Regions from separate parts of the Mus musculus genome. Here all the other regions are reported to be linked to region 4. Evidence: microRNA targets listed by miRTarBase, many of them from high-throughput screens and not tested one by one. Region 4 holds a microRNA gene; each other region holds the end of a gene's coding sequence.

Evidence for each region. The annotated mature microRNA mmu-miR-181a-5p reads AACAUUCAACGCUGUCGGUGAGU and lies in region 4 at 2,001-2,023, shown strand. An mRNA with a match to its seed (bases 2 to 7 or 8) in the 3' UTR can be bound and repressed. Matches are read on the target gene's strand: a 7mer-m8 pairs with bases 2 to 8, a 7mer-A1 pairs with bases 2 to 7 and ends in A, and an 8mer does both.
Region 1: the mRNA of Eml6 is a reported target of mmu-miR-181a-5p. The part of its 3' UTR that is shown has no 7-base or 8-base seed match.
Region 2: miRTarBase lists Ank1 as a target of mmu-miR-181a-5p. The part of its 3' UTR that is shown has no 7-base or 8-base seed match.
Region 3: miRTarBase lists Stk32a as a target of mmu-miR-181a-5p. Seed matches in the 3' UTR shown: 8mer at 810-817.
Region 5: the mRNA of Apba1 is a reported target of mmu-miR-181a-5p. Seed matches in the 3' UTR shown: 8mer at 3,923-3,930.
Region 6: the mRNA of Otud7b is a reported target of mmu-miR-181a-5p. Seed matches in the 3' UTR shown: 8mer at 2,773-2,780.
Region 7: miRTarBase lists Smad5 as a target of mmu-miR-181a-5p. The part of its 3' UTR that is shown has no 7-base or 8-base seed match.

Annotation. Positions count from the first base shown.
Region 1 is chr11:29,741,237-29,745,315 of GRCm38, forward strand. It overlaps Eml6 (echinoderm microtubule associated protein like 6), which reads right to left. Exons shown (of 42, transcript NM_146016.2): 42 at 1,815-3,374. The coding sequence ends at 3,350. It overlaps Rtn4 (reticulon 4), which reads left to right. Exons shown (of 9, transcript NM_194054.3): 7 at 264-310; 8 at 459-517; 9 at 751-3,178. The coding sequence ends at 793. Among named protein-coding and RNA genes, the nearest start is that of Rtn4, 50 kb to the left of the region's middle.
Region 2 is chr8:23,141,223-23,145,222 of GRCm38, forward strand. Ank1 (ankyrin 1, erythroid) reads left to right here. Exons shown (of 44, transcript NM_001110783.3): 42 at 1-7; 43 at 374-498. The coding sequence ends at 472. Gm15816 (predicted gene 15816) reads right to left here. Exons shown (of 6, transcript NR_169137.1): 3 at 1,902-1,982; 4 at 1-43. It overlaps Mir486 (microRNA 486), which reads left to right and starts at 1,333; the gene lies at 1,333-1,460. Mir3107 (microRNA 3107) reads right to left here and starts at 1,440; the gene lies at 1,351-1,440.
Region 3 is chr18:43,314,727-43,318,805 of GRCm38, forward strand. It overlaps Stk32a (serine/threonine kinase 32A), which reads left to right. Exons shown (of 13, transcript NM_178749.3): 13 at 329-2,755. The coding sequence ends at 428. Among named protein-coding and RNA genes, the nearest start is that of Gm31647, 66 kb to the left of the region's middle.
Region 4 is chr2:38,850,741-38,854,819 of GRCm38, forward strand. It overlaps Mir181a-2 (microRNA 181a-2), which reads left to right and starts at 1,995; the gene lies at 1,995-2,070. The region is part of intron 3 of Nr6a1 (nuclear receptor subfamily 6, group A, member 1); the gene reads right to left. It overlaps Nr6a1os (a long non-coding RNA gene), which reads left to right. Exons shown (of 7, transcript XR_866167.2): 3 at 1,475-1,619. Mir181b-2 (microRNA 181b-2) reads left to right here and starts at 3,090; the gene lies at 3,090-3,178.
Region 5 is chr19:23,945,495-23,949,573 of GRCm38, forward strand. It overlaps Apba1 (amyloid beta (A4) precursor protein binding, family A, member 1), which reads left to right. Exons shown (of 13, transcript NM_177034.3): 13 at 216-4,079. The coding sequence ends at 287. Among named protein-coding and RNA genes, the nearest start is that of Gm34076, 30 kb to the left of the region's middle.
Region 6 is chr3:96,155,419-96,159,497 of GRCm38, forward strand. It overlaps Otud7b (OTU domain containing 7B), which reads left to right. Exons shown (of 12, transcript NM_001025614.1): 12 at 1-4,079. The coding sequence ends at 550. Among named protein-coding and RNA genes, the nearest start is that of Mtmr11, 4.5 kb to the right of the region's middle.
Region 7 is chr13:56,737,182-56,741,246 of GRCm38, reverse strand. Smad5 (SMAD family member 5) reads right to left here. Exons shown (of 7, transcript NM_008541.3): 7 at 1-3,912. The coding sequence ends at 3,769. Among named protein-coding and RNA genes, the nearest start is that of Gm45623, 15 kb to the left of the region's middle.

The DNA.
Region 1 (4,079 bases), not on the chromosome of region 4:
AAATTGGGGAAGCTGTATTTTATAGAATCTCTGTGATGTGATTTGAAGCTAAGCATGGTTCCTTCAGCACATGCAGGAGAATGTGAGCATTTCCCAGGCCTCAGGAGAATGTCAACATTTATGTAGGCTTTAAGAGTACTGTCTGGTTACCTTGATTACTATTGGCTTGATAGTATGATGTTGACTCCTAGAATGGTACCAGTCTTCTTTTTTTTTTTTTTTTTTTTTAATTTATTTTTAAAGCTCTGTGTTTACTTTTTCAGCTCTGATCTCACTCTTCAGTATTCCTGTTATATATGAACGGCATCAGGTAATTTCTTAACTGTGGAGATTGCAGAATATAGAGCTCACTCTTATTATAAAGGACTTAGAGCTAGTCTTTAGTTTGTTGGTATGTAGTACTGATTGATATTCTTTGGCAATATTAATTTTATAATGCTTTTATCCTCTTTTCTCAGGCGCAGATAGATCATTATCTAGGACTTGCAAACAAGAGCGTTAAGGATGCCATGGCCAAGTGAGTATGCCCTGCAGCCTTCTTACCAAGGGCGAGACCATCATCCGGCAGTGTCCTTCTGAGGCCAGCATTAACTCTTTTTAATGCTTTTTTTTAAAAAACATTAGGCAAAGGTGGAAAATTAGTTTGTATTTTGGTAGCTTTATGATTCTCTAAATAATATACAGCATAACGTTTTTTAAAGAAGTGGGAAACAAACACAAAATTTGACATTTTTCTTTTTTCATTTGTAGAATCCAAGCAAAAATCCCTGGATTGAAGCGCAAAGCAGAATGAAAAGGCCCCAAACAGTAGACATTCATCTTTAAAGGGGACACTCCCTTGGTTACGGGGTGGGCGGGTCAGGGGTGAGCCCTGGGTGGCCGTGCAGTTTCAGTTATTTTTAGCAGTGCACTGTTTGAGGAAAAATTACCTGTCTTGACTTCCTGTGTTTATCATCTTAAGTATTGTAAGCTGCTGTGTATGGATCTCATTGTAGTCATACTTGTTTTCCCCAGATGAGGCACTTGGTGAATAAAGGATGCTGGGAAAACTGTGTGTTATATTCTGTTGCAGGTAGTCTGGCTGTATTTGGAAAGTTGCAAAGAAGGTAGATTTGGGGGCAGGAAAAACAACCCTTTTCACAGTGTACTGTGTTTGGTTGGTGTAAAACTGATGCAGATTTTTCTGAAATGAGATGTTTAGATGAGCATACTACTAAAGCAGAGTGGAAAAATCTGTCTTTATGGTATGTTCTAGGTGTATTGTGATTTACTGTTAGATTGCCAATATAAGTAAATATAGACATAATCTATATATAGTGTTTCACAAAGCTTAGATCTTTAACCTTGCAGCTGCCCCACAGTGCTTGACCTCTGAGTCATTGGTTATACAGTGTAGTCCCAAGCACATAAACTAGGAAGAGAATGTATTTGTAGGAGCGCTACCACCTGTTTTCAAGAGAACATAGAACTCCAACGTAACCGTCATTTCAAAGATTTACTGTATGTATAGTTGATTTTGTGGACTGAATTTAATGCTTCCAAATGTTTGCAGTTACCAAACATTGTTATGCAAGAAATCATAAAATGAAGACTTATACCATTGTGTTTAAGCTGTATTGAATTATCTGTGGAATGCATTGTGAACTGTAAAGCAAAGTATCAATAAAGCTTATAGACTTACCTTTGTGTTTAGTGTTTTAGTTTCATGAATGCACAGCAAAAACACGGTGGTAGGCTTAGAGAGTGGACACATGGTAACATGCTTTTAGAAAGGTTTTAGTTCATGAAACAGCTTAAGAACAAAGAATATATTTACATAGTGAGATTTATTTGACTCATAACAAAAGGTTTTAAATTATTTTATACTTTGAAAATAAATTCATGCACCAATATTTTAACAGAATACAGTGCAAGATTTATGAATATACATAAAATTACACCATATAAATTTTACAAATAAGACTTTCAAAGTCTTTATAACAGACACTATTGCTCTTCAAATATATACATATATCATTGATTAGTCAGTTGTTCATCCACATGGTTACTTAATGCAAGATCTGTCTGAATGAAATGTCAGTAGTACAAGACAGGCAGACACAGTGATCACTCAGCATCACCAGGTACAGAAAACAGAATCAGGGCTGCATAGGGCTCTACTGAGGACCCAGCAACCTGCTAGTGGGTTGATGTAAGGCATTAATAAGTTGGCGTGTAAAATAGCTTAATGTGTAATCTAATTCTTTTAGAATGCTGAAGCACTTCTGTGGTAAATGTTGATAATCTATTCTTTAACTGAAAATGCTTATTTCAACCTTTCTCTAAAATGGCAACTTCATATAACTAGAAACTCAAGGTCTAGAATTTTAGTGCACAGACTGGAAGGACTCGGTGGTGTGTGTACTCACGACTCCAACTCCCATCAGCCTTCTTAACTAATAGTCGTCAAGTCACATTCTGTCCGACAACTGACTGGAGAAACTCAAATACTCCTTACAGTGGGGAATATGTTCAAGAGGTTTTTAAAAATCTGAATTTACCCTGCATTAATCATCTGAAATGAGCAGAGCCAAGCCAGTCCTACCCAAGAGGGTGTAAACTAAACAGCAAGACAGCTCACTCGTCACACTGGAGCTTTCCCTGCTTTCCGTGTTGCTACTTTCTGTGGAGCTGGACTCTTCTTTGCTGCTCACCTTATAACTGCTTTCCTAGAGCAGGACATAGTGGTGAATTTGCTAATCCCATAGCCCTCCTCAGTTTTGAAGTTTTAGCACCATGTGAAGGAAGAAGACGACATGGGAGGTGAGGCAGCAGCCCACACAACTGGGAACTTTGAAGGCACTTAATGGATATAAAACTGCAAATGAAACTTTTAAAAATTAACATTTTAAAACTTGTTTATACATGGCTCATTTAGTTTTGAAAGCTAAATGTGGCAAACAGGGTATTTCTGTACTTAAGTGCTTCCAACTTACATTGTGTCCAGTGAACATTCTTAAAATACATAGAAACAGAATAGCAAAACACCTTTGTAAAAGTCTTAATGCAAATTAAACGCTACATATTGGTTAGGGTAATTGAGGATGTAAATTTTATCTGTGGGCTACATCATCCCAATTTTGCCGTTAGTGAAGTTACAATAAGTATAGGTTTTAGTCTCCAGAACAGAAGCAAACAGTCTTAGTATTCATTCTTGGCATCACCATCTTGCAAAGTTCAGATTATGAGAGTCCTACAACATCTCTGTTCAGAGCTTGTGTGTCCCACAGCAGTTGGCGTCGAGGAGGTGCCCCTGCACTGCCTACAAGTAGCTTGGGAGAAGCAGCCATAGTGCACGGGGTTCCAGTGTTTACAGACATCGCCACACAAATACACTGAAAGGCAAACGACATTTTTGTGTGGTCAGATACTATAATGCTGCCAAGTGTTCCAGACTGAAAAGTGTAAACCCATTGCAGCCTACTCTCCTTCCCCGTCATCACTTGGGCTTTTTTTGTTTTTTTTTAAGGTTTTTTTTTGGGGGGGTTGGGGTGAATAAGGTTTTACTATGTAGTCTGAGGATTATAGATGTGAGCCACCATGTCTGGTTTACTGTTCTTTTTTGGAACAGTTCTTTGATGTGTGTCTCCCTTAGACTCCTTTTGCTGCTTTGAGCATTTGTGCATAATGAAGTCACTGGAGACTTGGCAGCCCAACCTCACACTATCTGTCCTGTGACTATTGAAGAGGGTTGAGTGTGTTTGAATGGAGCCCTTTTTACATGTTATACACCATGTCCTCAAGGCCTTATGCTTTTAAGTTACTTTAAGTCTTGTTTGTAAACAGAAGTCACTTTGTATTTCCTGCACTGGGCTGGCCAGTTCGTTTAGGCCTTTTCTTCCCAACTTGTTCTGTTTGGCTGGTACTGTTTGGAATGAATGTTCATTATTCCAAAGGAACTGGTGTAAGTAAGTACTACCCCAAGCAATAATCCCCGCAATAGCTAGCACAGTGAGCTGGAGGTGGCTCAGCAGGCAGGCCATCACGGCGCACTGTGTTCTTTATAGGTGCCTCTCTTACAATTTGACTCAGATCACTAA
Region 2 (4,000 bases), not on the chromosome of region 4:
CGAGGAGGTGATTGTCGAGGGTCCCCTGGCAGACCCTGGGGATCTGGAAGCAGATATTGAGTCCTTTATGAAACTTACTAAGGTACCAAGGCACTGCAGGCCCCTGGAGGCCGCAGCAAGTTCACCTCCGCCTCACCTCTACTTTGCTCCAGGTTGCAATGCTGCCCCTGGCTACCTTTCTGGCGGACAGATGGTGTTCCCACCTCCTCCTTCTCCTCCTCCTCCTCCTCCTCCTCCTCCTCCTCCTCCTCCTCCTCCTCCTCCTCCTCCTCCTCCTCCTACTCCTCTCTGTCCTGACCCTTCTCACTTCCTGCCCGAGCTTGCTCATCTGCCTGTGTGATTTCCTACTTTCTGTCTCTGATGCTGTCTCCAGGTGGAGCTAAGAGGGAGTGGACTCCAGCCGGACCTGATAGAGGGCAGGAAGGGGGCTCAGATAGTGAAGCGGGCCAGCCTGAAAAGGGGCAAGCAGTGACCTCTCCTCAAGTAGCCCCTTGGGAGGTAACAGTGGCTTTCTCGTCCTTGCTGGCATGGTCCTTGATGAGGTAGCTGCTTGCTGCTCCCAACCCACCCCATCCTTGCACTACTAGCTCAGTTCAGAGTTAAAACCAGACTCTCAGAATCCCACTCCTCAAACTAGCCACTGTCTCTGCCCCTCCACGTCCTCTTCAGACCTGTGCCTCTCTGTTGACACCAGTCTGCTGGAGAGTACACAAAATCAGGGGCTTGGGTTTATTTTGCTTATTTATATTTTCTTTTGTCTTTTTTGGCTGTGTTAGGGGGGTGGGACCAGAGATAGGCATTCTGAGCCACACCTTCAGTCCCTGTGCAATTTAGTTATAAACAGAGTCTCTCTATATAGCCCTGGCTGTCCTGGAACTTGCTAAATAGACCAGGCTGGCCTTGAACCCACAGAGATCCAGCTGCCTCTGTACTGGAATTAAAGGCATGCAGCACCATGCCTGACTGTACCAGTATAATGTTAAAATAGTGCTTTGAAGTAGTGCTCAAAACACAGTCTGAGCCTATCTCACTACACATGGTCAGAAAGCACGCCAGACATAAACCTTAAGGCTCACTGGAGTCCTAACCTGCCATAGCTTTAATTCGATTACTGTTCTGAGAACAAGGCTGCTCGCTTGATGTCTGAGAAGGAACTAAGTTAGCAGACCCAAGGCATAGGTAGAATCTTCCCTGGAAGTGAGGAAGGTCTTCATGGCTAACGGCTGTACTAGTGTGTGAGGGGTGTGCGTCAGGGCGGGGGCCAAGGATGGGTGGGCCAGGCTACGCAACGAAGATCTTCAGCAGGCTGCAGTGCCCAAGAGCCAGCCTCAGCAGCCAGCTCTGATCTCGCCCTCCCTGAGGGGTCCTGTACTGAGCTGCCCCGAGGTCCTTCACTGTGCTCAGCTCGGGGCAGCTCAGTACAGGATGCGTCAGGGTGGGAGACAACGGGGAACAAGCCAGCATCACAGCCTCTGCCCATGCACAGCACTAACTGGGTTATTGCCCCTTCCCCCACCCACCCCCACCCCTGAACTCTCAGGGCCCAGCTCCAGAGCCGAGCAGCAGGCAGTCACTGGTTTTCTGCCTTCTGCAAAAAGCAGGGCCCGCGCAGCCTCCTGGGCCGGCAGAAGTGCTGACTTGATGCTTCCCAACATATCTCAGCACTTGGACAATATGAGGCTGGGCAGAGCCCGATAGGAGAGTAAAATTAGCCCTGACTCCTCAGCAGCTGTAAGGAGGTCACAGTGTTAACCCCAGCACTGCCAGGAGGGTCCTGCATGTCTGCTGATTTAAAGGCCAAGACTCGCTCTTGATCCCGGCTGGGAAACAACCCAAAGGTTCGAGTCATTTTTAAAGGAGGGAGGGAGGGAGAATGTCTTCTTCAGCCCTATCTTTCTTACAGTGGCAGCCGGACTTGCACTTGTGTTTGTTGGCTGAGACTTTATCCAGGGCCTCAATGGGAGGCAGCAACGGCAAGGCAGCTGAAGGACAGGGCAGAAGTAGAGTGTTTCATTAATTTACTGTACCCGGCATGCCCCTGCCCCAACACCCCCCCACACACACACACACTACACACATACACACACACACACACACAACACACTACATATACACACACTACACACACACAACACAACACACACACATACACATACTAAATACACAACACAACACACATACACACACACAGGCACAACACACTTACACACACACACACACACACACACCACACACACACTACATATACACACACTACACACACACAACACAACACACATACTAAATACATAACACAACACACATACACACACACATACACACACAGGCACAACACACTTACATACACACACACATACACTCTCTCACATACACACTACAGAGAGAGAGAAAGGGAGAAAGGGAAGGAGGGGGATATTTGCCACCAGACCTCATGAGTTTAGGAGTCAGGAATTCTGAGCAGCCTGGTTTGGACAGTACTTAGCCTCTGCCAACAAAAGACAGAGGGTGGGTGACTGGGGTAGTGACTGGGCAGAAGAGCGTGCAGTGGCAGGCTCCTGCCCAGGTCTGACCAGGTTGTGGAGCAGCAAGAGTGGCCCATCCTCAGTAAGAAGTTACCAAAGGGCTTCAGGCTCCGTCCCCACCACCACTGCCCCCAACCCCCGCCCCACAGGCAGTCCAGCCGATCCTTGTCATTCCTCTTCCGATTTGCCTACGCCCTAAACCTTTCTTGAAATCCAAAAATGAGCACCCAGTCCTTCCGTGCTCAGTCATTCCCAGACACACAGACAAAGGTGACCACAAAGTGATGGGCATGTGCCGTCCCCAGCTCCACCTTTTCCTGGGTCTCATGCTGCCCTTTATTTTTAATCTATTTAACGACACAGTGCATTTCCAAGTTCTTCATCGTTTGTTTCACTGTTTGTGTGGACGTTCTGTCTGTCCGGGGAAGATGAGTTCTAAGTCTTCCTGAGGCACTGTGTTGATGGCAATGGGGTGAGCACGAGTGAATGGCCTGCATACATGCGATGTGCCACCCTCAAAAAGAAATACACACGCAGCATGCTGATGGAGTCGCTGGCTGAGGAAAGCATGACCTTGCATGTCCCTTGGGAGCGGTGATTCAGTATTCGCTAATCCCACGCTCATACTTTATAGACCAGGACTACTGTGAATAATGAAAAGCATCTTATATGTTCCAAGTGTAAAAACTAGCCTTGGAGTCCAGATTCAAGACTTGGCTCCCCCATTCTGGTCCCAAATGGTATGACCTTAAGTCACTCAACTATCCCCAGCTTTGTACGCCTCAAGGAAAGATGGAGATAGTCTCTCCTGGATATGTGTTACTTATCAATTTAAAAAATGCGTGCAGAACAGGGTGTGGCCCAGCGGCAGAGTGCATGCTCAGCCTGCCTGAAACCCCAGGTTCCAGCCCCAGCGTGGGTGTGGCAGGGGAGTGGGGGCGCAAATAGAAACTATGAGAGGTGTCGTGTCGTGAGGAGTAAAGGTGTATACACTCTGGCGTCCCATCAGTGACAGGTGTTGTTTGTAGTGTGACTCAGGGCAAGTCAATTGACTTTCCTACGCCTCAGCGTTTCCACCCACGCGTCGCAATAATGCCAGCACGTTCCTTGTGGAACTGCTGTACGGTAGCAGATGCTCTTATTTTTGAGGAAGGGCTTTACAGAGTGCGAGGGTCGACAGTGCTCTTTCTCAGGGCGTAGTCCATATCCTGCTAAGAAGATACAGACCCCCGGGGCCGGGGCATAGAAGCTTGCAGGCCTGCGAGAGACTGAGCTGCTGTTCTCGGCTGCAGTTCTGCTCAGTTAAAACCCAGGATGTCAGTATCCGTCACTATGCCGTCCCTGGGATTAGATGCATGGTGAAAGTCGAGTTGTTATGCCGGATTTTGACCCTTCTCCTCAAACTCCTCTCACGTCGTCTGGCATAGTACAAGAATCATATCTAAAAGCAGGCTAAAGTGGAGGATGAGGAGCATTTG
Region 3 (4,079 bases), not on the chromosome of region 4:
ATAAATTGAGGCAACACCGAATGAACTCAGCAGCTTGTATCCATATATTTATTCATTTGTTTTTTGTATCAACAATGTTTAAAGAGGAGAAGGCAGTTGATTTGGGAGGGGCTGGGTCAGACACGAGAAGGGCGGAAGGGAGAAAAGGGAGGGAGAAATGATGGAATCATATTTTAATTGTTTTAAAAGAATGAAAAATATTGGACTACACGTTATCATTTCAAAAGTTTAAATTCATTTTTCCTTTAATGAATGACACTCTCTCCCTCCCTCCTTCCCTTAACCCCTCCCTCTCACCCTCCCTCTGTCCATCCTTCCCTCCATTCAGAGTAAAAAGTGACTTTAATCAGAGACAAGCAAATCTAGCCTTGGAACAAACCAAAAACAACACAGAAGAGGAGGAGGACGGCCAGAATAACAACCTATAAAGTGCTTCCGAGTCTTCGGGGGACAGTGCTTCGGGGGACAGTTCTTGGCACCTGGCGGGAAAGTCCTGATTATCACACACAGAAGAGCTGACAGGAGTCCCTGCCACTGCCACACCTCATGACTTAGAGAATATGAATGAGTAGTCTTCGAAGTTGGTGGCAGCACTCTGCAGCGACAGGAGAGGAAGAGAGCCCTGGTTCTGAGCTCTTCAGTTCCAGCTTCAGCACGCATTGACTCTGTGACCTTAAGTGAATCATTTAACTGCTTCCTCTGTTTTAGTTCACCGCTTGGAAGGTAGAGGGATATTTCAGGAGAGCTACTCTTTGCTCTGGCTACAGATTGCTCTAAACAGCCTTTATTCTTATTTTTAAATGAATATTTGAATGTAGATTTATTTTTTATTCTTTCTGATGACACTGTGAAACATGGACACTGTACATAGTGGGCCTCTTCAGGGCTAGAGAATATCACACAGGGGCCAGAATTCCAAAGCTTGATTAGGTAGGAATAAAGATGTTCCATCGGGAATAAATACATAGGTTAGATTAGAAGTAGCAAAGACTCATGAGATCTTGAAGTGGGGAACTGGATGGGCACGGAATCTGTTTGCAAGTGCCTACTATGTGCATGGCCTCTCACGCTCTCTTGTGTGAGGTGGCCTTGATCAGTTAAACTTGATTCTGATGAGAGGAGTCATATGCAGAAGTTTAGCAAATGCTGGGAGTTGGGACACATTTTTTTTTTTCCAACATGGCAGTTGTAAAATATCAGACTCTGGTATGTTTGTCCCTTGAAGGCTAATTTTCCTCAAGGTTAGCAGAGACCTGCTTCTCCAGAGGATCAGAGAGTACTCCTGAACTACAGGTAGAGTTACTTGGAACTATTCAGTGAAGTCACACCTCACAGGAGAGATTTCCAGGAGTTTTGGAAGCAAGCAAACTTTCCCTTGAAACTCCTAACTCTACAAAGTGAAGGGGGAAAAAAAGTCAGTTGCTTTTTTGTCAAGAAATATATCACGTCTTTGTGTTGTTTGGCTCTTTATTTTTTGTATTGGTTAACTAAAATAGGGAACAATTTACACATATCTACTCAAGAGTTACACTTAAAGAAGCAGGATGGCTTATAGATCCCAGAGGTCAAATTCAGGGAGACCGATGCCCCCACGTTATGTAATCACTGTGAGATGGCTGGCAGAATTGCCCTGCTGCTTAACATATTGTTGAAGTCTGACACTTTCTTGTCTGTGTATTTCACTCATGTGCAGAGTGTCAGTCACCTTAACTGTGTATGTGTTGTAACTGCCCTGTGCTCACGCATACAAGATCTTTGAAGAACTTCTTCGAGTGCCCCACTGGTGACGCTAGGTAGAATCATGACGTAGGTGGCTTTACAAAGCATGTTTTCAACTCTTGGGGAAACCGAGGCCATTAATGGTATTCCTTATGGAGAGTACAGGCATAGCCATGGTGGCAGCAAGCTGGTCCAAGTGACCAGCTTGATTGATTGATATCATTTGGGAAAGGCAGACATGGAAGTAGAGGGTAGCTACTGGGGCAAGAAAGTTTGTGTCGAAAACAAGAGCTGAGGGTAAGACTGGCATTTACAGTTCGCCAGATTCTGGCGTGGTTGGGACATAGTGCCTCTCTACTAAGAGCAAACACACACACACACACACACACACACACACGCACGCACGCACGCACGCACGCACACAAGCACGCACGCACGCACACGCACGCACGCATGCATGCACGCACATGCACGCACACGCACGCACGCACGCCAGCACGTACACGCACACGCACATTTTTAAGAATCAAAACCCACCTCTTTTATTGAGCTCCTGTCTCTGAGGTTCTGTCTGACGTTTTATTTGTGACATTTTGGTCATATTCCATCACTGTTTATCTCAAAGCATCTGCCCTGACCTTCAGAGGGATGAATGGGTCAAACATAGCAACCCAGAGACGACTCGATTCTGCTCCCGGCTGATACCCCACAAGTGTCAGGGACCACATGCATGCTCCAGTTTTTGCCTTTTGTTCTTCTGTATTGAAGACCCAACGTGTTAGAGGTGTTATGGATTTACCTGCCCTCACCTGGCCCCACCTTCTCCTGGACCTTGCCTGCATCCTCCAAAACAGCAGCTTTCAAATCGTTCTAAAGGCCAGCAGGGCCAGCAGGTCTCAAGTTCAAATCTCTAGTTTTTCTTCCCAGTGGGCATCTTTCTGAGCACGGTTGCTTTCAGAACTGGGGATATGCTGGTGAAAGTGCAGGGTGGGAGGTGGGTCAATGACAGGCACACCGTGTGTGGTCAGTTAAAAGGAAAAAAAAACAAACAAACACACAAAAGAAATCCATTGTGCTTGGGCTGTGGCTCAGTAGTAGAATCTGTGCTTAGCATGCACGAAGACCTGGGTAGATCCCCAGCATCCCCAGAGACAGAATCACTGAATCCGGCTGTGCAGAATAGCTGGTTCTGAGCACCACCTACTGCTGTACCTTTTAAAGAAGAGGAAAAGCATCAATAACAAAACAAACAACAGAAAACTTTTCCAAGAGCTCGTAGTAAATACTTCTTGGTCTTATTTCCTAACTGCAGCTCAAAGTTAGCACCCAACAGATGAAACAGCCACATTTCTGAGAAGGATTAGGGCCGAGAACTTCAGAAAACAGTGGGACTACTTTATCCTTTCTTCTGCTACTCCTGGAATCTCTCCAAGCAGCTTCCTTCCTCCCTTACTCTACAGAGCATCAGAAAGGCCTGAGCAGGGTTTGAATACCAGAGTGCCCCTGATGTAGTGCCACTCTGCAATGCAGCCGAAAATCTCCAGGGCATTCCCAGTGACTCAGAGTGGAAGAATGAGGCAGCTACCTATGGGGCAACCCTGGTAAGATCCTCACTCTGCGGAAGGATATGTCCTGCTAAGAGCCAATGACACTACTGCAGCCCTGGTGTAGGCTGAGGTCATCTTTAGGACAGGCATGAATCTCAGGCAGCACAGAGCATTTCTAGATCAATCCCACTGATCTAATTAATTAGTGGAAGTCCAGAAATGACTGGATTTCCTATCGTTTTGGCTTTCTTGGTGATTGGTGAATAAGTAACTAGGAAGAAAGAGTGTTGCTGTGGCTATGGACACCCACGTTGCTGTTGGAGGTTGACGGGGATGCTGCCTTTCATATGTTCAATGATGAGGCATGGCAAGTGCATTGCTCAGCTCCTCGGTGTTCCTGTGTTCTGTCCACACAATATCTGTCTTCTACTTCGGTCCACCTGTGATTGCTATTCACCGTGCGTTCAGTGTGCCTGCTCGCCTGCTCAATGTGAAACCCCGAGACTCCACATTTCATTCTATGTGCTTTTCTGAACTGGTGGCTGATTTAAAAGCCCCAGACTGAAAAAAATTTATATATATATATATATATATATATATATATATATATATATATATATATATATGCTTGTGTTGAGCCATAGTGTATGTGATATAAATGTGCCTGCATGGATTAAAATGTCTTCTGTACGATATGCCCTCAGACTTCCTTTGTCAAGTATGTGTGAGGGGTCATCCCAGGTCACCTGTTCTTACTTCCATTAAGAAGAATGTCCCTTTAGCATGGATGGTGTTGGAGATCTGTAGCCACCC
Region 4 (4,079 bases):
TCCCAGCACTTGGGAGGCAGAGGCAGGTGAATCTCTGAGTTCTGAGTTCGAGGCCAGCCTGGTCTACAGAGTAAGTTACAGGACAGCCAGGGCTATACAGAGAAACCCTGTCTCGAAAACAAACAAACAAACACAAAAAAGAATCTTCAGCTAGGTCAACCATCAGTATTTAAACCCAAAGCGGCTGGAGAAATGATGGCTCATTGGTTAAAGAGTACTGGGGGCTGGAGAGATGGCTCAGCAGTTAAGAGCACTAACTGCTCTTCCAGAGGTCCTGAGTTCAAATCCCAGCAACCACATAGTGGCTCACAACCATCTGTAATGAGATCTGATGCCCTCTTCTGGTGTGTCTAAAGACAGCTAAGGTGTACTCATATATAATAAATAAATAAATCTTTAAAAAAAAAAAAGAGTACTGGCTGCTTTTCCAGAAGACTCAAGTTTGATTCCCAGCACCCATATGTGGGCTTATAACCATCTAACTCTAGTTCCAGGGAATCTGACACATTCCTCTGGCCTTTGAGATTATCAGCCATATACTTAAGCAAACACCCATACACATAAAAATAATAAATTTAATAAATACATTTAAGAAAATATTTAAACACAAAGTATCCTAGATTAGATAGATATTAACCTCAATTCAGCCAGCAGCTCTACAAAGCTTCTATGTTGCTTAAAATAAAGCCAATATTCTGAAAAATGTTTAATTAGTTTTCAAGACTTTTCATAAAAAATATTCAATAAATAGCCAGGCATGATGATACAACCTTTAATCTTAGCACTCAGAGGAAGGCAGGCAGATCTCTGAGTCTGAAGCAGCCTGCTCTACATAAAGAGAGTTCCAGATAAGGGGAGGGGAAGGAAGGGGGAGGGGAAGAGAGGGAGGGATGGGAAGGGAGGAGAGGAGAAAAAAATGAGGAGGAAAAGAGGGAGGGAGGGGGGAAAAGAAAGTCAATAAGTAATAAAAAATAACCACCCAAAACAAAGATCAGATACATCTGGCATTTTAGTTGCTCTGTGTTCTTCTAAAGATTTTTATTTTTTAAGTATGTATGTATGTATGTATGTATGTATGTATGTATGAATGAATGTATGTATGTATGTATGTATGTATGTATGTATGTATGTATGTATGTGTGTGTGTGTTTGTTCAAGTGCCTGTGAAGGCTTGAGTTGACAGATCCCTGCAGCAAGAATTGGTAGTTACAGATTGTGGTTAAGACAGGTGCTGGGATCAAAGTCCCGCCTAGAAAAGTACAAGTTCTTATCTGCTGAGTCATCTCTCCAGATACACTCTCTGTGCTCTAGTACACATAGAATTTTTACTTTTCCTATATGGGGAAAAAAAATCATGGAGCATCACTAGCACTTCTGTGGTAATTTAGCAGCCCATGATTCTCAGCTACTGAGTTTTGTTTTTCATCTTTTTCTCTGAAATATATGACTTTAGATGTATTTTCTACTATTACAGGCAAACAAGAAGGAATTTGCTTGTTTGATTTAGCTCTGCAGTAAAGGTTCAAATCTGAGACTGGTAAAGGAAGGAGAAAGCAACATATCCAACCAATACTGGAACAATGAACTCTGGTGTTCAAGTTCTGGCTATGGAACTCCGGGTAAGTCTCTGTTTCTTAAGGAAAACACGGTTGGAATTAAATATACAAATCCTACTACACATAAGTCCCCAGCATGTGTTATGGTCTTTCTTGTTTTTGTACATTAATAATTAAAGTATTACTACAAAATTGCTATATTGATGTTTTCAGAATGATAGCATTGAAAAATATTTCCACAGATATCCACTTTTAGTCAGCAATGTAAACTGCAGTCTCACAATCCTGCAGCTCATTTCTGCTTTATGCAAACTAACTTCACAGTGTAAGTACTGTTAACTTGAAATTTTGGGAAGAATGTGAGAGACCCAACAGCAGTGGTCCTTAGAATATGAGAGCAGGCCAAAGATGGGCAACCAAGCCAGCCTTAAGAGGACTCCATGGAACATTCAACGCTGTCGGTGAGTTTGGGATTCAAAAACAAAAAAACCACCGACCGTTGACTGTACCTTGGGATTCTTACAGACAACAAGTTTCCTGAAGCAAAGGAGTAGGCTGTACAGATATATCATGTGACAGACATCACAAGATACAGTCCTGTGGCCTCTTTTCTAAAGGGAACCAGCAAGTTTTTTTTTTAAGCTTCCATGTATTTATATTGTCTATTTTTTGTAATTTCTTGATAAATAAGTGTTTCATTTTAACAATTTATGGGAAGTGCCATCATAGTACCAAATGCACTCAAATATCTTCTAGAAATGTGTCATTCTAGTCAGAAATAGGGTGTATTAAAAATGTCTATTTACTGTAGGAAAAAAATCTAGTTAAGTCTTTTATTCTCATTTCTTCTACGTCCTTTCAAATTTTTGCTTTAGGGTCAAGAGATTTACTCAGCAAAAATACTCACAGAGTTACTCACTGTCTATACAAATCATATTGTGCCTCCAGTTTCAGTTACTGCGGTTAGGGATTTGACATCTCCATGAGAGAACCAGATACATTTCCATCTCCATGTGCTAATTTAAGGAATTCTGGGTCATCTCTGAGCCTCCGTATCCAAGTATGTTTTCTCAAATGTAGAATAGGAGAGGAGAGAACCTCAGAGTTTTAATTTAATGAGAAGATATATGAGGGTACTTTGAACAGTTTCTGGCTCACAGCAAATGTTTACTACAAAAATTTTTACTTAACTGCAATCATAATCTATACTGCTTTACCTTGAAAAGGGCACTTAACGTCTCAGCTTGAAACAAAAGATGAAGCAATGTCTCTGAGGGCTCCTTTACAGACATCAACATCCAAGTCTCAGCCCATGTGATCAGAGCTACTTACAAGGTTCTCACATAGTGCCTTCTTCCTCACAACTTTTCTGTCTTGAACAAGTTCTTGCTATACAGTCAAGGTGATCTATAATTATGAGTCCACAACCATACAGATGACTAGTTACTAACATACAACAGACTTCAAAGAACCATAGTGGGAAGAAGAGCCAGGAGATAGAAAAGACCAAGACAATTTCATCAAAAGGAAACATTGATGGCTGCACTCAACATTCATTGCTGTCGGTGGGTTTGAATGTCAACCAACTCACTGATCAATGAATGCAAACTGCGGGCCAAAAAACGCAAAGAAACAAAAGTACTCCCAGAGAGTCACCAGAGTACGGAAGTACTGCTCCAGGTGGGACCTCAATCTTTTATCTAAAGTCTCTTTAGTTTCTTTGCTTCTAATATGGAAGAAGCTCTATAATTCCTAGTATTTTTTATTTTCTTCTCAAATATTCCAAGTTTTGGGAAATTTATATTATCACAGGCAAAAGGATTAATATGCCTTGACATCATAATATTTAAAAATAATACTTAAATATACATAATTATTTTAAAATAAAAGTATATGAAAAGAATTTAAATCTATCCTCATCTCAAATACATTCCTTCTATGAAAACTACATAAAAACATCCATTTAATAGTATTACTCACACAACATAAAGAAAAATTTTATACCTTTGAAGACTTATCTACATGTATAAAAACAGAGGCAAAACTGTAATTCAGGGGAAGTTCAATGGCAACAAAAGGAACTCACTGCTCTTCAATTTACCTTTACACTCAGCTATATACTTTAAGCTTAACAAACCACATTTACTATTATTTTGGCTATTTGTTAATTGTTTTTGAGACATAGTCTTACATATCCTATGCTAGGTAGCTGAAAGTGGCCTTGAATTTCTGATCCTATGTTCTCCTAACTAGGATCACAAGTGTGTATCACCAAGCCTGGTATTGAAACCAAGGTTTTGTATGTGATAGGCAAGCAGTCTACTAATAACTGCAGCACCTGTACTTTATGTTAGTGTACATGTACATATTTTGGTGCATGTGTAAGCCAGGGTAGGTGTTAGGTGTCTTCCTTAATCACTCTCCACTTCATTGTCAAACCTGAGGCATGCCAGCAGGCAACCAAGTTCCAGGAGGCATCTGTCTCCACTTTCTCAAGTCTGTATGTTTCCATGGTGAACACTC
Region 5 (4,079 bases), not on the chromosome of region 4:
TTTTCCAAATGGCCTTAAAAGCTGGAGCCTTTAACTGGAAAACTAAGCCTTACCCATATCGTCTTACCATTTAGAGTCACCGCAACTTTCTAGAAAGCCCGTGGGCTTCAGTCTCCCAAAACCAGGTCCCAGAGCCGAGGGTAGGCAGTCTTGGAAACCGTATATAGTGAGAGGTCCTACCCCCAGCCCCAGCTAACGTGGCTTTCTGCCCTCAGATCCACATGAAGACAATGCCAGCAGCCATGTACCGACTGCTGACGGCCCAGGAGCAGCCCGTTTACATCTGAGCAGAATCTCCGTGATGTGGCGTGGTGTGGCGTGGCGTGGCATGGCGTAGCGGCATGCATGGAGGACTCTCCTCACCGTGGTTGTGTTTTTTGTGCTGCACCCGTGTGTCCACTGAGACATTCCCCTCTGGCGCCCAACATTTGGTCTTACACGGGAAGAGAAGAATCAGCAAGGACCTCTTTGCTCTCTGTCTCTCTCCAGTTTGTTTGGTTTTTTTCTTTCTTTCTTTCTTTCTTTCTTTTTTTTCTTTTCTGTTCCTTCCTTAATACCAGGGAAGTTTTGTGTGTGCCCTCTTGAGGGTGGAGAGCAGCTAATATCTCCCTGGGATCATGGTGGAGGGCCTTTGGGGGATGCCCACGGAGGTACCATCCCTCCCCGGGAGACACATACTTCCCTGAGGAAGTTCCCAGAGGCAGCGTGGAGGTGACTGAGCAGTGCTTAAAACTCAGTGGCTGATCTCTCTGCCCTCCTCACCTCACTTGATAGGAAAGGAGTTGGCAACAGATGACAGCGTTGAACATCCTTAAAGCCCACATCTTTAAGGATGTTCGCTGCCTGCTATGTCATTGGGGGCCCTGTACATTATTTCTGCCCAGAATTTCTGAGCCACTTTTAAATCTCTCCCATGGTTTCTTTTAGTTGCAATGTATGTGTGTGCTAATGCAGGCCTAACTGTTGAGAAATGAGGAAGTGACACCCTGGATAGGGCTGCTGTGACACCACAGAGATCCTGGCAAATCACAGGGCCTCCGAGGTCCCTAGATTGTCCAAGGTTACAAATTGGAGAATAGCCACAGGCAGGTATTACCCTCCTAATGTACTTACTGCACAAGCTCTTACATGTACCACACACACACACACACACATGAGCCCTGCACACTGTCACATTTGCCCTCTACCTGCTTTGAAGCAGGCTAAAAACCTAGCACCACAGACCCTGTGGAGAACCCCCAGCTCCTCTCTGGAAGATCCCTTCCCCTAGCAGGTTGACATAGGCAGAAAGCAGCCAGCCTTGTCCTAAAAAAGACACTGTCCTGGCCTTCTCTATCACAGTTGGCTCAGAGTTCCCTCTAAGACTCCCCCCACCCCATGTACACACTGGAGGTTCTTGAGGGTCAAACTGTGATGTGAGTGCCCTAGTGTCCTGCTTCCCTGCCCCAAGGCTAAGCCAGCCTGGGCCCATTCACAGCTACTAGTGAGGATGTGATATTATAAAGGCTAGAACAGATAAGCCACTAAATCGGGCAGACTTAACACTTGGTGGTGGGCCTAGAATCCCCAGCTGTGCTCCCGAAACGCGCCCTACTGCCTTGTAGATCTGGGAGTTTGCAGCTAGTATGGAGGGCTTGGTGCCTCCATCAGTTGCCTCACGTTGTGGATCACGTCTCAGTCTAGTCCATGTGTTTTAATAATATCATTCTGAGCCAGCTTCCACTTATTCTTGGTCCAAAGAGCAGTTTGTTTCCATGTGGGATGTGGCTAGTTTTTGTTTTTGTTTTTGTTTTTGTTCTTGTTTTTGTTTTTTGTTTTGTTTCATTGATGACCTCAGTAGAGACAGGGGGGAAAAAAAACTAATATATTTTGTAGTATGAATATAATCCCTGTTCTCTGCATCTGGGATATTTATATTGTATCTTTGGAAATGGGAGTTCAGTGAGCAGTGTTGGGAAGGATGGATTTATGGAGGGAAGAGAGGGGTCTGGGGGAGGGAGAGATGTGAATAGAACAAGAGATGGAATAAGGGGCTTCAGCCAGGGTGGGAAACAGCCAACCCCTGGGTTCTCTGACTTCATGAAATGTCTGGAGAGATTTGGGAAAGCCCGGTGCTTGCTGGGATCTGCCGTGAGCCCTCAGTTTGACTCTAGCACAAAAAGCCTCAGTGATATGAGGCCTCCGGCTGTCCAGATAGCTGCCTGAGAAGGACCGGGCCTGCTGCTGCGAGAGCTATGTGGAGTTAGGACCACAGAAGCCGGGCCATCGGGACTTGATTTTAAGGGTGTCTTAACAGAATGCTCCTGCATGGCCAGGCCCAAGGTCAGACCCCAGCAAATGTGGAGACCAGGGGACAAGCCTTGGGTTTTCTTTATATCTGAAATAAGTGATCTGTCAGGTATCTAACATCACCACACACTGAAGGCTGTGGTCCATCTCTCCTCTGCCAGAGATGATGGGTAGGACAAAGAGGGACATTATTGCTGCCATCTCTGGCATTGGGAACCTTGGTAAAGTCCCTTGACAGGCTTATGTCCGTCTGGACAGGAAGGCAGAAGCAGGACCTCGGAGGCTAACCTGGGACCCGTCAGGGGCAGACCCCACCAGTCATCACGCCCAGTCATCACAATGAAGTCTCTTCACCCCAGGGAAAGAGGAAAGAGAATGCTTTCCATTCTCCTTGCACAGGAAGCCTGGAAGCTTTAAGAGGGGCTCAAAAGCAAAGCTTCTCTTGCAAAGCTCTCCTAGGGAACTAATAGTTTAGCATCATTGTAAGGATTACTTAGTCTTTTGTGTTAAGGGAGGGTCCTCCCTCCCAGAGGGAAAAGCTGTCCCCTGGTCCAGGCCCCCTGCTGAAGCGTGTTCTTCCTCTGCTAGCATCAGACTGAATGGTTAAACTTGGGGTCAGGTCTTGTCTGGCATCTTCATATACACAGTTACATATGTAAATATCTCATCGCTCTCACTAATGGGGCCGACTACCCACAGAGCCGCCTTCCTCGAACTGCAAGGCACAAAGCCACTCTGCCCACTCAGCTGGAACGCGCTGGTGACTTGGCTTTGGGGCAGGCTCCCAGATCCACACACACACTCCCCGCCTCCCCCCTCCCCCAGTCCAATGAGGTTGCACTAGAACCCATTCTGCCTCTGCTTCCTCCTGGGGAGCTTTTCAGGGAGCCACCATCAGCCTTGAGTTCCTGAGAGAAGGGAAGGCTCACAGATCCATGGCAGTAGCCCACTTCCTGAGCGATCCCTTCCCTTCCCCACAGCAGGCTCCAGGGGGTGGAGGGGAGTAGAGCACAAGGCAGGCTGCCACCTCCCTGCACACGGGTTTGCTTTCTGAACTTCGCCCATCAACATTGGCCTTCAGGGAGTCCAGAGTAACCTACTACCTCCCCCATAGCTCCCCCTCCCTCCTCCTGCAGCCCCACCCACACCTATGTTCCCTTGGCACACTGATGAAAACCCACCCACGGAGCCCTGCTCAGGTCTCTCCACCCACTGGTGTAGCTGTCACCAATGTTTACAACCAAGGGCCACCTCTCGCTGATGTTTTAACCCTCACCTTCACCAGGCTACCTGTTAGTTTGAGTTTCACCTCTGTCTGCTCCCTCCCTGATTAGGGTCCACTTGAGTACACAAACCCTGATTTTACCTTCCCTCCATCTAAGGCAGTGTGTGATGACTGTGTGGGAATGAAATCTCTTGTACATACTTAGCACAGCACTTGGGGTATGAACCCACACCCCTGTTCTGTAACATTAGCGCTTACTGTAAAACATCGGGAGAAGTATAGTATTGTATTTGTAACAATATCATTCTTTGTATACACGAAACTCAATGATCTCTATATATAAATATAAATATATATAAATAAAATATATCTACACGTGAGCCTGGAATGTTGATACTGCACACCCACTGAATGTATTTCCTCTGACAGTCTGGTCACCGGTCCTGGCCCACCCTCCCCTTCTTTGTGCCGTGGCGGCAGTTGTCTGGTTTGGGGTTGTGATGTATTTAATGTGCTATCTCCTTATTTAACTGAACGCTAATGTCTGTATAAGAATTGCTGCAAC
Region 6 (4,079 bases), not on the chromosome of region 4:
AGTTAGTGGGCCTCCTCCAGCCAAAAAGCCAGAGCCGGACGGTGGGGAGGACCAGCCCAGTGACTCCCCCGCAGAGCCCAAGGCGATGGCCTTCTCTACTGCTTACCCTGGGGGCTTTACTATCCCTCGGCCTTCTGGGGGTGGAGTCCACTGCCAGGAACCCCGGAGGCAATTGGCAGGGGGGCCATGTGTAGGGGGCTTACCATCATATGCCACCTTTCCCAGACAGTATCCTGGGCGACCGTACCCCCACCAGGACAACATCCCAGCTCTGGAGCCAGGCAAAGATGGAGTTCACAGGGGTGCCTTGTTACCACCCCAGTTCCGTGTGGCTGATTCCTATAGCAATGGCTACAGAGAGCCCCCAGAGCCAGATGGATGGGCTGGAGCTCCACGGGGACTTCCCCCAACCCAGACCAAATGCAAACAACCGAACTGCAGCTTCTATGGACACCCTGAGACAAACAACTTGTGCTCTTGCTGTTACAGGGAAGAACTGAGGCGGAGGGAGCGGGAACCTGGTGGGGAACTGCTGGCACACAGGTTCTGAGTGGCTGGAACCTTAGTGGGGACAGGGGCTAAACAAAGAAAGTTAAGCTCAACTCTGGCTCATCAGGACCCAGCCCCTGTGTTGATGGGGCAAGTGCAGAGAGGGGTGTGGGGGCTGGAGTGCTGGCAGTCTGGTGGGAGCAGGGCTGGGCTAGCTAGCACTACCCCAGGGCAGTACTGCTCCTGCGCACACAGTTGACTTGAGACTTCAAGGCAGAAGGGGGAAGCTCATAACCTCTTCTGTCCCAATCCCAGGGCCCAAGGGAAAGTAGGGAAATACTAGGTGTGTGTGGGTGGGAGGTGGGTGGACACCTTCGGGGAGGAACCTGGAAAGAAAGTTCTCAAGTCAGTTAAGGAAAAAATAGACCAAAGTTCATTGACTTTAGAAAAAAAGCACATGGTGGTGTAGTTGGGAGTATTGAGTCGATCTGAGATACTGAACAAATTTGATTTTGGTTTGAATTAGGTAGATATTAGGGTTGAATAAATTCTCCCTGAAGGATCAAGGCAGTAATGTATGTGCTTGGCCTGGTTACACAGAAAGGGTGGTTTAAATCCCAGTGAATGGAAATAGGAAGGAGGAACTTAAAGGGGAGTCTTTCCTAGAGAGTTTTATGTTCTTCTAGATACTCATCTGCCATCCATTCTAGTTTTAGGGGAGACTGCCTGTTGCCCTACCTTTTCCTCATCCTTTTTAAGGATTGAGCTCAGCTAAGTTAAGATGTGATTTTTTTTTTAAATATTTTTTTTTAAAGCAAGTTCCCTTTGGGAAAGAGAAGAGTGGTAAGAAGCAACCTTGTATATGGGGTTTCTTCAGGTGAACGGGTGCAGAGTGATCTATTTTTTAACTACTTAGCAATAACTACATGTGGGTTTGAGTGCACCTGAGAAGGGGTGGAGGAGCCCAGATGTTTGGCTAGACTGTTTGAAACAATACCAAAAACCTCTATAGAGCACTATCCTCTGCTGCTGTGTTTCTGTAGAAAGCAACCTATTTTACTAATTTTTTAAAGAAAGACAGGACCCTGACAGAGAACATTTAAAAGTTACTGACTCCTGCCCCTACCTAAGTGGGTTTCTCCTTCCTGTCACTTCTGGAGAGTGAACTTAACACCCTGGCTTCTTTTGTTAAGCCGTGGCTGACCTTAATCTGTGGTTAGTTTATTAAAATAATAAAAAATACTTTGTAAGAAAAATTATTTTTGATATTAGGGCTGGTGTTGAAGCATGGGATGGGGGCTAGGGGCCACTTTGAAAGGTAGCTAGAGAACTCTATTTTAGTGAGCTGTCGCCATGGGCCGCACGGTCCCAGTGATCTGACCTGCCTTTGGATATCTCCCTTTTCCTGAGCCAGCCCTGTTCTCCAGAGGGGTAGGGCTGGACCCAGTGGTGAGAGCTCCCTTGCAATTTGCACAAAGCACAAGTCTGGACAGCTTCTGCTCTGACCAGAGCTATTTCTAAGAGCTTTAAACCTGAAGGCTATCCTGCGCCAATTGTCCCTTCTCCTTATTTTTTTTCCTGGGGAAAAATCATCTATGCAATTCTATACAAATGAATTCTGTGTTCATTTGTGGATGCAAATGAAGAAGGGGTGAGTGCACTGCACGTGTCCAGAGTTACCTGGGGCTGTTTCTGGGCTCCAATTTCTCTGCTGAGGTATGTCATCACCCACTAATGGAATGTTATCCCCGAATTTGATTTAAGTCACAAATGGCTAGATGTGCATGTTTGTGCGTGTGTGAGATGGGACTCCAGTGCATGTTTCCTCTGCCTAGTCAGAAAAATGATCAAACACCTCTCTTTGGTAACAAAGCTAGTCAAGACTTCTTTATGGAATTATTAAGTTTAAGAAGTTGTCCCCCACCCCCTCAAAAAGTTTGAAAGTCATTCACTTCCAAGTCTGCCAATCTGTTGATTTCATAATTTCCCATCATTATTTTTTGACTATTTTTTGTTTGTATCTTTGCTATGTAGCCCTGGCTAGCCAGTCTGGTACTTGCTATATAACCCAGGTTAGCCTCCAACTCATAGCAACCCTCCTGCCTCAGTCTTCTGAGTGCTGATACCTAGGCATGAACCACCACACCCAGCTTTCTACAGGCTGAAACCTAGTATGAGATAAGCATTTCTGGCAGGTGCATAATTTAAAGATCTACTAGGAAATTGAGGGTTATTTTTGTTTTGTTTTTAGATAGGATCCTATCCTGTAGCCCAGGCTGTCCTTGAATGTATATGATCTTGCTTCAAATTTGCCAAGTTCTGGGATCACATCATACCAGACATTTTTTAAAATTTCAATATATAAGCATTAAAAACCCAGATTGAACAAAACATCAAAATCTTAGGATGTATCAGGAATGGTATTAAGGTGAAAGAGGTAAGAGCCCTTAATTGAACAAATATGAGGACAAATCCTGTCTACTTAAATTGTGATATGTTCATAAAGATGTTTTTACATTTAAAAATTTTTATTTTCTTTAAATACTGTATCAAGACAGTACTTATCTTGATTCGTGAGTTTTAAGCACTCCTTCAGTTTTCTCCCAGTGAGTGGTAGGTGAATGCCTCGTGCCTTGCTAGCATCACCTCAGACTTGTCCCAGTTTCTGAAGCTTGAATAATGCAGGTGAAACCTTCACCGTGAGCCCCTCTTCCTGGCTGCAGTCACCCTGTGTGCACTTCTGTCATCCTTCTCCCACAACATACATAGGATGCCTACCTGCCTGGGTGGGAATGCAAACAGCCCAGCAGGGGTTTTCCTGTAGAATAAAACCAGGGAATTCCATTTCCTTTGGGCTGCTGTGTTTGGACTTGGTCTGTTATTAGATTGTATAAACTGAGGACAAATGAAGAGAATCAGAAAACTTGTATCATGTTGTTTTTATTTATATAGTACCCAATCTTAGTTCTGCTTGCCTTTCTGAAGAGAAAATAAAAAAGTTCCAGGGAAAGGGAAGAGAGGTCTAAGGTCATATGGGAAATGGGTATTGGGTCTTTTAACTTTTTGTTAAATTAGTTTTAATTTGGAGGGTGACTATTAAGGCATCAATTTTAAAGATGAGGGACTCTGAGACATTATTATTTTTTTAATGAGGGCTTGTGAGATTTTCATTCTGTGTTTTTTAGGGTGGAGGAGGGGTTGAGTAGGGGTGGAGTTAAGGAACGTCTGGGAAACAAAACAAAGATCAACTTGTTCAGAATAAGCAAGCCCATGCAGATACTGTGGTGGGGAGAAGGGAGGGTTGTGTGGGGAGCATCCACGTGAGTAAACCTTCCTTATTTACGAGGGTCCTGTGTGTGATGGGGGTGGGGGTCCTAGACGAGGTAAGTCCTCATCTCTCAGGCTTACATTAAGTGCAATTACTCTTTATAATCCAGGGCATCTGGGGTCCTACTAAAGTTTTAACGGAGAGAGATCTTCAGGGTTCTTATTTTCCTCCTTTCCACTCTCTCCACCCTGCATCCTCTGTACCATCCCCAACTTAAAGCCAGTACACCAGAGGGCTGACCTCCAAACCCCTTAACTCAGGC
Region 7 (4,065 bases), not on the chromosome of region 4:
GCTGTGAGGGAAATACCCACCTAGCTGGAGATTACTTTCAAAAAAGATGCTCTACCAAATATCTGAGGCTACCTATAAACAACCAATGTTTAGTCGTATGTATACTGAGAACACATTTCTACCGAGACCCCGGATAGCAGAGGATTTACTCGGCCGGACAAAGATGGGTTCAGACAAAGCTAATGGATCTAAAACCAAACCCTCAAAGGGGCTGAATTTTAAAAGCCATCAGAGCTCACTGTACTCTGCAGTGCATGCCTGTAATCCCAGAACTCCAGAGGCAGAGGCAAGAGAATTACTTCAAGTTTGAGGCTGGCCTACATAGTAATTTCCAGGCCAGCCAGGACTGTACAAAGAGACTGTATCCCAAAACAAAATAACAAAGACTTTTAAAAAAGAAATAAAAAATAGTAATTTTTTTAGAGAATCTTTAGGAAGCAAAGAGACGGGACTTTTAAGAGACCAGTGAGTGACAGGGACCCAAGTGCTGCCAGGGAAGTGACCAGAGAAGGTTCGAGGATACTGAGCCAAGCCTCTCGGTGCTCTCTGTGGCAGAAGCACAAATGGCATTGCTGACAGGCGTGCCCTGGACCAGTAAGACTTCACTTCTTCATCTACTCTGTCCTCCCAATGGCGATACTGGCAGGGGATGGAAATGTTTCCCACAGTCCTCTCAGGCATAGGGAGACTGTGAGGTAACCCCAAGTGTTACTTGCACGGTTCATTTCATATTGCAGTGTTACTTTCATTCATACCCCCAAAGGGTGTTTAACTTGGTTGAAGTGTTATATTTAGCAATCTTACTACTGGTTTCATCTTAGAAACTCAGCCACATCTATGACTACTTTTCTTACACCTGCAACCGTGAAACATAGAAAAAAGGGGACACGGATTCCTACTCTGTTCTATTTGTTTGCTCTTTGACTTTTCTTTTTTTATTTTCCTCCAAGACAGTTTCTCTGTGTAGAAGTTGCTCTGTAGACTAGGCTAGCCCCTGCTTCCCGAGTGCTAGAATCAAAGGCATGTGCCACCATTACCCAGCTTTTGATACTTTAGAACTGACTTCCTCCTATAATTTTCTCTAGTTCTGGAAGGCCCACAGCACGCCTACTTACAGCCCTTAAGTTCAGTTGGGTGACATCAGTGAGGTCATCACGCTACGCTGAAGGTATACTAGTCAAATGTACCTCTTGGTCCTGCTTTTCCTAGGCAGCATCTTGTTGCTGTAATCCATCGCTGAGATTTTGATTCTTCCATTTACAACATTTATCAAACTGATGGCAATCTTTATTATTTGCAAATCTTTTTTCCCTGGCAGATACTAATGTATTTTGTATACTAAATACTTGGCAAAGTACATGCCTAGCACGCCTGAAGACTGAGGCTGATCCTTAGCACCACGGAAGCTGGGTATGATGGCGGATGTCTGTCATCCTAGCACTTCAGAGGGTAGAGAACTGAAGGCTACCCTCAGCAACTCAGCATGGTCAGGGTCAGTCTGGGCCCCATCAGAGCCATCTCTGACAAAGACTGTACCGGCACTGGTCTGGTCTGGTGGCTTCTTCAGAGGCCCTACTCCCTGCCCTCTGTGGTTCAGTGCACACTTGCTGTCTTCATCTCACTGTGAGTACTGCCTACCCACAGGCGTCTGTATATCCTTACATACAGTAAGGACAGTACAGGAGCAGGTAGACTACACAGTCTCCATTTACTGACCACAGAATAGGTTGGGATTTCTCCATGAACCTCAGAACAGCTCAGAGCTTCAGTCCTGCCACTGTACAGATGGCAGGCCACATAGGACTCTGCAAGTCCGAGACCTATGACATGAAGACTGTGGAGAGACAACATGTAACCCACTGCTGAAAAAAGGAGCAGGCAAGGCCCTTGTGTCCAGACTTCAGCAGAGCTCACAGACATACACTCACTCAACTCAAGACACGTTCTTACAAACCTGTTCCTGAAGGCTGCCAAGTAAAGGAACATGAACGGTTTCTGCCTCGGCTATAAAGCAGACATCTCTCTCATGGAGCTGACACACTCTTGCTATGGAATACTTATGTCTACAGCTCAAGCTACTGAAGGCTATCAAGGAGCCCTCTCTGAAGGAGCAAAGCCACCCAATGGTTGCACTCTGAAAGGCAATAAATAATGGCACAGAAAACAAAAGGAATCCCCCCCCCCAAAAAAAAAAATAGCTGTTTTCCTCATAAAGGCAGGAAGGGCACTCTAAAAAGTCAAACCAAAATTACATTTTCAGCAGAAGAACCAAGTGGCTCTGTATATTTTCAAAAGGCACCAGAAAAAAACCTTTCTCACTCTGATAGGCAAATGAGGCCTTTTTCTTTATCAAAGTAGTGTCTTCATTCTCAGGCCATGACTGTCCATCTCAGGCCATAACTGCTCCCTAGAAAGTGGTTAAGAGTCCTAAGGACAAGGCACAGTGAACTAGATGAGTGTCTTAAGAGTGTTCACATCCAACAGTGTTGTGGAGATTAGCGTCCATGTAGGTTCTAAAAGGATAAAAAGAAAGAGGCAGAGCGTTGATGCAGAGAGACAAGCCTACACTCTACATTGTCTTGCTATATGACATATGACATGAACTATCCCAATCCCTATTGTGATTCACTTACACCAACAGCCTCATTCTTGGGCCAACCAAAGAGCCTCTACTGGCTACACTGCACGAGTCCTTGTATGACAAGTCTGGTAAGGAGCAAAGGTATTCATACATACATAACCTTTCAATGTCAATAATGCTCATAACATTGTAGGGGACTAACAGGCACCTTAGCTGGAGCTATAGAAGAACAACATTATAAACTACATTGGAAATTAAAGGCTAGAAAAAGCAGCACAGCTCACAGCTGTCATCTCTAAGTGGTCGTGTTGCACAAAGGAGTGCCAAGGCAGCGAGGAGGAGCTCTAAAACCAGGCCACCTAATAGTATTTTACCAGAGGCTACACTAAGACAGTCACCCATAAAAGTGCAAAATGAAAAGATTAATGCACAGGAAAATTAGAGTTCTTGAATTGTTGGCCCAAAGCAGCAAACAATGCTGAACAAGGCCACAGAGCACATAGTAACTAACTGTTAAGTAGGACTTACAACAAATTTGAGTAAATGAGAAATACTTGAAGTTTTTAAAAAGGAATTGTTTTACAAAATATATATGGCATGAAGTCACATTACACTGATGAATATTACCTATATTAAATGTAAATGTATGACGTCCAGAAATCTACCACCTTGCTTTCACTGAACACGTTAGGACTGCAGTGTCCTTCAAACAAGATTCAACAGTTTCCTTTAAGCAAGCCCTACTTTGAGGTTTTGCAAACAATGTATGCTTTTTCAAAGGTGGTAAGGCAAAGAAATTCCCAGAGAAATATCATCTACTGCTTTCCACAATATATGTTCTCTTATAGGATAAAATTTCATTATGTGATGAACTACTTTGTAAAAAAAATTTAACAAATTAAAAAACGTTGGGACAATAAGAAAAAGTACGTTCCAGTTTAAGATCAATGCTAAACATTTCAACAGGGGCAAAATACTCTACATCGTTTACAATACTTTTGAAAGTTAATCACAATGAACACGAATACAAACAAATGTAATATCATCATAAAATACAAATGTGTTGGTCACAATTACGTAGAAAAAATAATATCTGTTTTCCATGTCAGCTCACAGCATCTGTACTGGAAATTCCTCTAAAATTAAAACAAGTCCACTAAAAATATAGTTGAAAGAATACTTCTGCACTATGAAACAGAAGAAATGGGGTTCAGCGGAGAGCCCATCTGAGTAAGGACTTTATCCAGCCACTGCAGAGGCCCGTGGAGGTGAATCTCAATCCAGCAGGGAGTACTGGTGACGTCCTGTCGGTGGTACTCTGCTCCCCAGCCCTGGAAATGAACAGGCAGCAAAGCAAATCGCTCTTGAACAGTCAACAGTCCACACTAACTTTAACAATAAAAAGCTTAACTGCAGAAACACATAAGACTTACTTAAACTACAGAAAACCAGTAAGCACTCACATATGGTATTAAAAGACACAT